Linked DNA regions of Sus scrofa. The protein of the gene in region 2 binds, or shares a complex with, the protein of the main gene of each other region. Links are inferred from orthologs where the notes say so. Each region holds a gene or a part of one and is shown on either strand. Other genes may lie near its edges.

Region 1 (4,399 bases), on a different chromosome or scaffold from region 2:
AAGAAAGTAGGAGGGACAATTATCAGAACATTGAAAGAGTTTACAATGAACTTTAAAAAATAACTTCAGGGGAAGTTCTATCACGGCTCAGTGGTTAACGAACCCAACTAGCATCCATGAGAACACAGGTTTGAGCCCTGGCTCAGTGGGTTAAGGATCTAGCGTTGCCATGAGCTGTGGTGTAGGTTGCAGACACAGCTCGAATCCCGTGTTGCTGTGGCTGTGGCACAGGCTGGTGGATGCAGCTCCAATTCGACCCCTAGGAACTTCCATATGGCAGCGCTAAAAAAAAAAAAAGAAAAAAAAAGACAGAAAAAACTTGAGGGAGGTCCATGGCTCAACAGGTAAAGGTTGTCACTGTTGAGGTTTAATCCCTGGCCCAGGAACTTATTTATTTATTTTGCTTTTTAGGGCTGTACTCATGGCATATGGAAGTTCCAGGTCAAAATGGACCTGTAACTGCCAGCCTACACCACAGCCACAGCAACTTGGGATCAGAGCCGAGTCTGTGACTTACACCACAGCCCACAGCAAGGGCGAACCTGAATCCTCATGGATACTAATTTCTATTTCTTCTTTTTCTGCTGCTGCTTTTTTTTTTGCTACACCCTCGGCATGTGGAAGTTCCCAGACCAAGGACTGAACTGTGCCACAGTTGCAGCCTGTGTCACAGTTGTGGCTTGTGCCTCTTTAACCTGCTGCACCACACAGGAACTTCCAGGGATCTATAATTTCCTTTCTTTCTTTTTTTTTTTTTGTATTTTTAAGGCTGCTCCCATGGCATATGGAAGGCTAAGGGCTGAATCAGAGCTTCAGCTGCCGGCCTATACCACAGCAACAAGGGACCCGAGCTGCATCTAAGACCTACATCACAGCTCATTGCAACGCCAGATCCTTAAACCACTGAGCAAGGCCAGGAATCAGTGAGAGTCCTCATGGATACTAGTCAGGTTCATTACCACTGAGCCATGATGGGAACTCCCAGAGATCTATAATTTCTTAACTACCATTCCTATCACAACTTCTATAGCAAGTAATATGTATGAATATGTATCACTGGCATATAATTTATACTATTCTTACTGCTCACTAATACAACCTTTCCCCCAGTCCCTGAATGAGGACTCCACCATCCCAAAACATATCAAGATTATAGTTCTAGAGGTCCTGCAGTGGTGCAGTGGGTTAAGAATCCGACTGTAGTGGCTCTGGTCACTGCAGAGGTGTGGGTTCAATCTCCAGCCCAGGGCACTGGGTTAAAAGATCTGTTGTTGCTGCAGCTGTGGCTTGAATTCAATCCCTGGCCCAGAAATTTCCATATGCCATGGGTATGGCTATAAGAATTTTAAACATTTTTTAAAAAGGTTATAGTCCTACACATTTGTATGCAAGTATATATATTTATATATTTTATAAGCTTATTATAAATAAATAATGTGTATTTACATACAAATGTAAAAGACCATGTATATATTTGTCTTTTCAGGGCCAAACCCAAGGCATATGGAAGTTCCAAGGCTAGGGGTTGAATCGGAGCTGTAGCTGCTGGCCTACACCACAGCCAGAGGAATGCAGAATCCCAGCCACCTCTGCACCCTACACTACAGCTCCTGCAACACAGATCTTTAAATTACTGAGTGTGGCCAAGAATCAAACACAGGTCCTCATGGATACTAGTCAGGTTTGTTACTGCCGAGCAACAAGGGGAATTCCTATATGTAAATATATTAAATCAGAAACAATGTTCTGCTTTGCTCTGATGTCATTATTTCATCTTCAAAATAGAAATCACTTAATTGTAGGAAATGGTTCTTATTCTGTCTTCCCCACAGAGACTGAGAAAGAGCCTTGTACTCAGATCTAGTTTGTCTTGCTGATGCTTTTGGACAAATCTCTTGCTGTCACCTTTATACACTCCTTTGGACTTCTCTTAGCAAGAAAATAATTCCTTTTTAAGTCTTTTTAAATTTATCAGTTTCCCCTACTTAATCGCTTAATGTTGCTGAATTAGTGGGCCAGAAGCACAACTGGAAAAAGATCACTAGATGTCATCCCCACACCTTGTGATGACATAAAAAGTTTACCCAGTGCCCGGTTCTTTCAAAGTAACACTCGGAGAACAAGAGTCAGGAGTCTCTGCTGCAGGGTGTAGCACAAGGATAGGAAACAACGCGGAAGGAACTTTAAGACTGTCACGGACAGGTCATGCCAAGGAAAGATTTTGCTAGAAGCAGACAACACCCACTGTGGTCTAGATACTAGCGATGCAGAGATGTCCCTGGCCGGACGCGATGTGGGCCCTCCTCCGCTCTCATCTACCACTCTGCACAGCACACGCCGAGACAGGAAAGGACCGACAGGAGGGGCGACTAACAGGCTCGACGCTAAAGGGCTTCTGGACAGCGCTCTCTGAGCACCAAGTGACGACTGAAACGAAGCACAAAAGAAGGGAGACGCCTGAAGAGAAGGAAAGATTCAGGCGATGGATGGGGCTGTCTGACACGTCCGGGAAAGGAACGGACTTGTTACTGGATGCGGGGGGAAGGCAATGAAGCCGATGAGCTCAGCGTGGGGCAGGATAACCCCACAGGGAATGATCAGTGGAGGCCGGGGGTCAGAGCGAGAGGGGAAAAGTGCGGCCTGAAGGCGGAAGCAAACACCAGCAGGAGCCCACGGCTCCCAGAACCCGCGTCAAAGCTTCTCAGCGCCCTCCCTAGGCGGGCCCCCCTCCTCCCTGCCTCCCCCTGCTCGCCCGCTGACCAAACGAGTTGAGAAAGTCTGCGATTTTCTTGATGCTGCTGGTGATGACTTCAATGTACTCCCGGTTCGCCCAATCCTGGTGAATCTCCCGCTGCACGGGATCCTCTTGGCCTGCCATGGCTGCAGCTGAAGGAAGCGCGACTGCGCACGCGCCTCGACCCTCCAGGCCTCCAGTGCGCCGACGCAGCCAGCCCACGCCCATGCTCGGTTGGCCACAAATCCACAGGCTTCGTGATGCGCCTGCGCATTGTCAAGTCCCCGCCAGCGTCTTCGCTCTTCTCCCACACCCCGGAAAACGGTGGCCGCAAAACCGGCTTGGAGAATGGAGTGCGCACGCACTCAGAGCCCCCCCCGTCCCCCCTCAGTCACTGGCAGTTTTGGTCGTTAGGGGGCGCGTGAGCCCGCATCAACCCTAACTTCAGGCGCTCCAAACTGAGATCTCTGACCACAATAAGCTGGGCAATGCCAATTAAACCACAGAAAACACAAGTCATTTCAAAAATGCCTTTTAACAACACATGATGCCCACCTTGCATTTATCAAATGAACAAAAGGTTATTTTTTTAAACTATAATACTTAGAGATGAAGAGGCTGGCTGAAGGGAAATGGGAAAATTAGTAAATAGCTGGTCATACTGTAAGCTGGCAAGATCTATTCAGAAGGAAATTTAATAAAGTCATTGGTGGAGTTCCCGTTGTGGCTCAGCCGTAAGGAACATGACTAGTATCCATGACGTGGATTCCATCCCTGGCACTAGCTCAGTGGGTTAGATAGAGCTGCAGAGTCTTTGATCTGATGGCTGTGGTCCAGGCTGGCAGCTTACAGCTTTGATTCGACCCCTAGCCTGGGAAGTCCACATGCCTTGGGATGCGGCCCAAAAAAGACAAAAAAGAAGAGCTCATTGGAAAAGAGAAAACACTTTGAGCACAATGTTCTTAAAGGCATCATTCATTTAAAAAAACAAATCTCAACTGTTGGGGAATGGCTAAATATCAGTATAGTCACTTAGAGCAATATTATGAGGTCATTTAAATGTCAATTATGGCAACAGAACACACATGCTAAAGTGAAGAAGAAAACAAAATACAAAATTTTTTCTTTTCTTTTTTTTTGGTGGGGGAGCCCGCACCCCTGGCATATGGAGGTTTCCAGACTAGGGGGTCTAATCAGAGCTGTAGCTGCCAGCCTATGCCACAGCAATGCCAGATCAAAGCAGCGTCTGCAAACCTACACCACAGCTCACGGCAACAATGGATCCTTGACCCGGTGAGCAAGGCCAGGGATCTAACCCGAAACTTCATGGTTCCTAGTCGGATTCGTTTCTAATGTGCCACGATGGGAATTCCTTTTTCTTTTTCTTTTTTAACAATTTTAAAAAATATTTTGTCTTTATTTATTTAGTCTTTCTGCCATTTCTTGGGTCGCTCCCACGGCATATGGAGGTTCACGAGGCTAGCGGTCGAATCCGAGCTGTAGCTGCCAGCCTACGCCAGTGCCACAGCAACATGGGATCCGAGCGGCGTCTGCAACCTACACCACAGCTCACAGCAACACCGGATTGTTAACCCACTGAGCGAGGCCAAGAACCGAAGCCGCAACCTCATGGTTCCTAGTCGGATTCGTTAACCACTGCGCCAC
Region 2 (4,491 bases):
ATCCTCTGGACCCTAGACTTGGCTTTGCTCCTCAGGACAATAAGACCCGAGGCCTTTTACAAAGGCTCCAGTGAGGGGACTGCTGTCTGGTTTCGTCAACTACAAGTGAATAATTAATACATGCCAGTAAAGAAATAGACTCATTGTTATGGTGGCCACATGGAGGCTATAAAAGGCCATTTTGCGCAGCTCTGGGCGGAACCCTGGGACCAACAGTGGCCAAGAGAAACCTCTTTGAGAGTATAGGCTGATCCTCAAATGTGGGGACTGGAGCTCTCGGCACTATTTTCCAGGAGTGCTGTTCCCAATGCTAATTAGCTGTTGCCTATTCATCACCTAATTCGCCTTGCCACTCAGTGACAGCAGCAGAGGCCCACTGCATGCCCGAGAGGGCACAATATTTCAGATAGGACATGTACTATTCCCCCAAGATCCTTTTCCAGTCTTTAAATTCTTGTCTACTTTCTTCTCTGCGCCAGACTCTGATTGGCTTTGAGTAAAACTCTCCTATCCTGGTGGACTTCATATCCCACTCTCGGTCTAATGCCTACAAGTTTTTCCTTTTCCATTTCCAGCAGGTACTGAACAAGGCAGGCCTGGGTGCCTACAGAACCAGTCAGAACTGGCCAGGAAATATAATAAAGAAGCTTAGTGAACAGCACGCTAATGCCCCCAGCCAGAGGCTCAGCCTGCAGAACTAGCCAGGGGAACTGGCTTTGAGAGCAACAACACACTCTTCTTGTGGCCTAGTAGCTGCTCTGGCAGATGGCAGCCAGTGTCAACAAGTAACTCTCTATAGGTTTCACCTCTTCCAAATAGACACTGAGTGCTCAACAATGCCTTCTAGTGACAGTAACCCCTGACCAGTTACACACACACACACAGACACACACACTACTCCTATGGTATTTCTGCCCTTAAGGCCAAAGCTGCCCTTGCAGCAAGCAAACAGCACTGACAGCTGCTAAAAGCTGTCATTTCAGTGAGCTGTTCCCCAAAATTGCGACCCAGTTCCCCACTCCCACTTCCAGCCCACTGCCTGAAATTCCACCGTTAGAGATATGAAATATTATTTACTAAAAGCTTTGTTTCCCATTAAAATGCCTCTAAGCCTCTGTTTCCTTTCTGGTCAAATGACTTCTAAAGCACCTGCTCTGCGTCTAATGGGAAATTTGTTTGTATTTGGCTCTTTGAGGATAAATGCCTTCACTGGCTCCTTTCTTGAAAACAATTTCTGGCACAGGAGAATAGGGTGGGGGTGGGGGTGGGGGTGGAGCACAGGGCACTGTGTGGAAGCAGAGGTGAGCGGTCTCAGGAGGGATCGCAGAGAAGCTCTGATGGAGAAAACAACTTTCAAGGCCTTCACCACCCTGTCCAGGGATATGGACCTAGATTTTTGCCCTCCAGCAGCTATAATCTTCACAGCTGCCAGCATGGCTTGCAACAGCGCCTGTGCCCAAGAGTAAGGTAAGATCGACGGCCTCCCCACACCCCTCCTTTTCCCCCCTACCCACCCCCGTGCGCAAAAGTGACAGAGTCAGGAGGTGGGAAGGGAGAGGTGGGAACCAGCACTCTCCTGATTGCCCCTCATGCCTGCAGGGCTACCCCAGCCTTTCTGACCATGCCTCGAAGGCACAAGTGCCCAGAAGCCCACAGGAAAATAACCTTGTCCCTTTCTGGGCCCCGCTGTAAGGGGAGCTGAAGGCCCATCCATCAGTCCTTGGTGAGTCGCACTGCTATGGTGGGGAAACTAGACAGGCAGAGGTCAAAGTCAGATTCCCTGGGCTGAGCAGGGTACCTGGGCAGTCTCGGTGTCCTTCTCTGTCAGGTTTTCCAGACAGAACCTACTCCAGACCATGCTTCCCGCCCCCACCCCCACTGCCACACGGAGAACTGCCCTTGTATACCTTTTCAGATGATGCATACCCCTGGAGGGAGGCGGCTGTCCTGCAACGCAGAAGCCACTACAGAGCTAAATAAAACCCAACCTTTCCCCCAGGAATCAGACCACTCTTTCCCTTCCCCCCACCTCCTCCCCGCCCCCAGCCAGCCAGAGGGAGAGGATGCTAGGCCAGAAGGCTTCAAAGCGGGTCAGGCCTGCCTCCTCGCTCATTAAAGCCCCCCACCCCGAAACAACGCTGCGGAGACCCCTGCTCCACCCATCTCACGTTCACTACAGGGCGCGCTGCGTCCAAGGCGGCTGCCAGGCGGGCCCAGGCGGCTCTAGCTGGCCCTGGGGGAGGTGATGGTAGCTACAGCGGCAGAGGCGGCAGCAGAGGCGGTGGCCGGCGCTCTGCGGTACCTGGGCGCCGGGAGGTCGCCACCGCCGGCCTCGCGGCCGCTGCAGGTGCTTCAGATGCTCGACAGGAGCGCCGCTTCCTCCCAGGCGGGTGGCTTCGGCCCAGGCCGCGCACCTGCTGCTGCTGCCACCGCCACCGCGCCTCAGCTTCTCCATGCGTCGGTGCCTCCCCGAAGGCGGTCCGCGCCTCAGGCACTAGGGTGGGCCAAAGGGGGCAGCGGGCTGTGCTGGGCCCGAGGCCCGGCCTCTGGGAGCTTCTTGGGGCCCCCAGGCCGGGCTAGCCCGGCCGCCGCGCCGAGCACCCCCACGGCGCTGGGAGAAGGGGTGCGAGCCCCTCGCGCATCTCTACGGCTGCGTCGACATCCCCAGCAGCATCCCGGTCTCCACGCCGGCCCCGAGGCCTGCGAGCGCCGCTTACCTGGGTCTGCAGCAGGTCTAGGGGAGCTGCCCGAGGATACGGCGGGGGCCCCGCGCCGGGGCGCAGGATGCTCTGCCTGGCCCGGCTCGGCGGCCGCCGCGCTTGGGCCCGCCCTCGGCCCCGCCCCTCCATCCGCTGCGGCTCCTCCTCCGTTCCCCGCACCCCGCCCCTTCGCCGCCGCGCCTGTCACACAAAGAGCAGGAAATGGCTGCGGCCAGGGGCTCTGGGTGCGTCCCTCAGCGCGGCTGGCGCATCCCAGACCTGCACCCGGACCTCTCGCCCCAGGAGAGCCAGCTACATCGCTTAGGGAGGATTTTCCCGGGCCCCTCAGACCCAGGAACCACACCTGCAGCTTGTGGGAGGACTGATCCTTTGGGCTCCATTAGGATCTCATTGATCTCACATGATTTCCAAATGCATATTTTTCGAGCACTTCTTTCGTTCCAAGCACCGTGCCAGGAGCTGAGTATGCACTGGGGTATGCAAAAGACAGAGTCTCTGCCCTTCTGGAGCTTATCATCTATCAGGAGATACATGGCATAAATTAACTTGGCAAATGTCCAGTTTCAGCTAAAAGACCGTTTTGTGGAAAAAAAAAAAAAAAGAAAAAAAGAAACAGGGTGAAATGGTAGAAAATAAACCTGAGAGTTGGGGAGAGGGCTTCTGCCAATGGAGTCTGATCCCAAATGCTGCTCCTCTGTTCAAGAATACCTACTGGTTCTCTCTTTCACTTCCTTGGTGTGGAATCCCTGAAGCTGCCATCTCTTAAGCAGAGGCCTGCCTCAACTTCATTCAGGAAGAATTAATTGCCTAATGGACAAAAAGGCAAATCCATGATGACGGAAATTAGAGAAGGAATTGAGAGGACAGGCACTTTTCTCTTCAAGACTTATTTGCCATTTAGGGCCCTCCAAAGAAATGGTTCACATTGAAATGCATCCTGGCGGGGCCTCAAACCAGGTGGAAGTCAGACAACACCTAATTCCAACCTTGGGACCCCTGAGCAAGTCACTTCACCACTCTGTTCCTGAGATGCCACCACATCTAAAATGTGGGGAATAATCGTTGCCTTTCCTACTTCACAAGGTAAATGATTTGAAATCATTTGAGATGTTTTAAAGTTAGGGGGTAAAGTCTTGCTACAAGGGAACTTTCCTGAAATATATCTGAGGGGCTTGCAAATGTAAAGTTCATCACTCAGCTCTTCCTATCAAGGGTTATTTATAGAGGAGCCACATTACTCAACACTCAGCAAAGGACTTGTATAAGTCTTTGTCCTCGCTGATCTCACATCCTTTCCCGAGTGCTCAGGATTCATGATCCTTTGTGGTTTGATGTTACATCACTCATTCTAATTTAAATCTCTATTTCAGAAAGGATGACTTATGTATACATATACATTTCTGTCCCTGATGCCATGTGAGAAAGCTGTGGGGGTGTTTGTGGAGGATGGCTTTAAAAAGAGAACTGAGGTTTCCTTTTTTGTGTGTGTCTTTTTAGGGCCCCACCCATGACATGTGAAAGTTCCCAAGCTAGGGGTCAAATCAGAGATGTAGCTGCAGGTCTATGCTACAGCCACAGCAACTCCATATCCAAGCTGCATCTGCAACCTACACCACAGCTCATGGCAATGCTGGATCCTTAACACACTGAGTAAGGCCAGGGATCAAACCCACATGCTCATGGATACTAGTTGGGTTTGTTACTGCTGAACCGCAGCAAGATCCTCCCCCCCCCTTTTTTTTTTTTTTAATTTTTCAACTGTGATCCTTGG

Evidence for each region.
Region 1: CYFIP2 (region 2) and BRK1 share a complex: the UniProt entries of both Homo sapiens proteins name them as parts of the WAVE1 complex. The link is inferred for Sus scrofa from reciprocal best matches to the Homo sapiens genes CYFIP2 and BRK1.

Annotation. Positions count from the first base shown.
Region 1 is NC_010455.5:66,314,077-66,318,475, reverse strand, and holds the start of BRK1 (protein BRICK1), read right to left. Parts: upstream 3,039-4,399; 5' UTR 2,963-3,038; coding exon 2,761-2,962; intron 1-2,760. UniProt on the Homo sapiens protein: Involved in regulation of actin and microtubule organization. Part of a WAVE complex that activates the Arp2/3 complex. As component of the WAVE1 complex, required for BDNF-NTRK2 endocytic trafficking and signaling from early endosomes.
Region 2 is NC_010458.4:65,998,721-66,003,211, forward strand, and holds the start of CYFIP2 (cytoplasmic FMR1-interacting protein 2), read right to left. Parts: upstream 2,857-4,491; 5' UTR 2,718-2,856; exon of another isoform or gene 2,303-2,717; intron 1-2,302. UniProt on the Homo sapiens protein: Involved in T-cell adhesion and p53/TP53-dependent induction of apoptosis. Does not bind RNA. As component of the WAVE1 complex, required for BDNF-NTRK2 endocytic trafficking and signaling from early endosomes.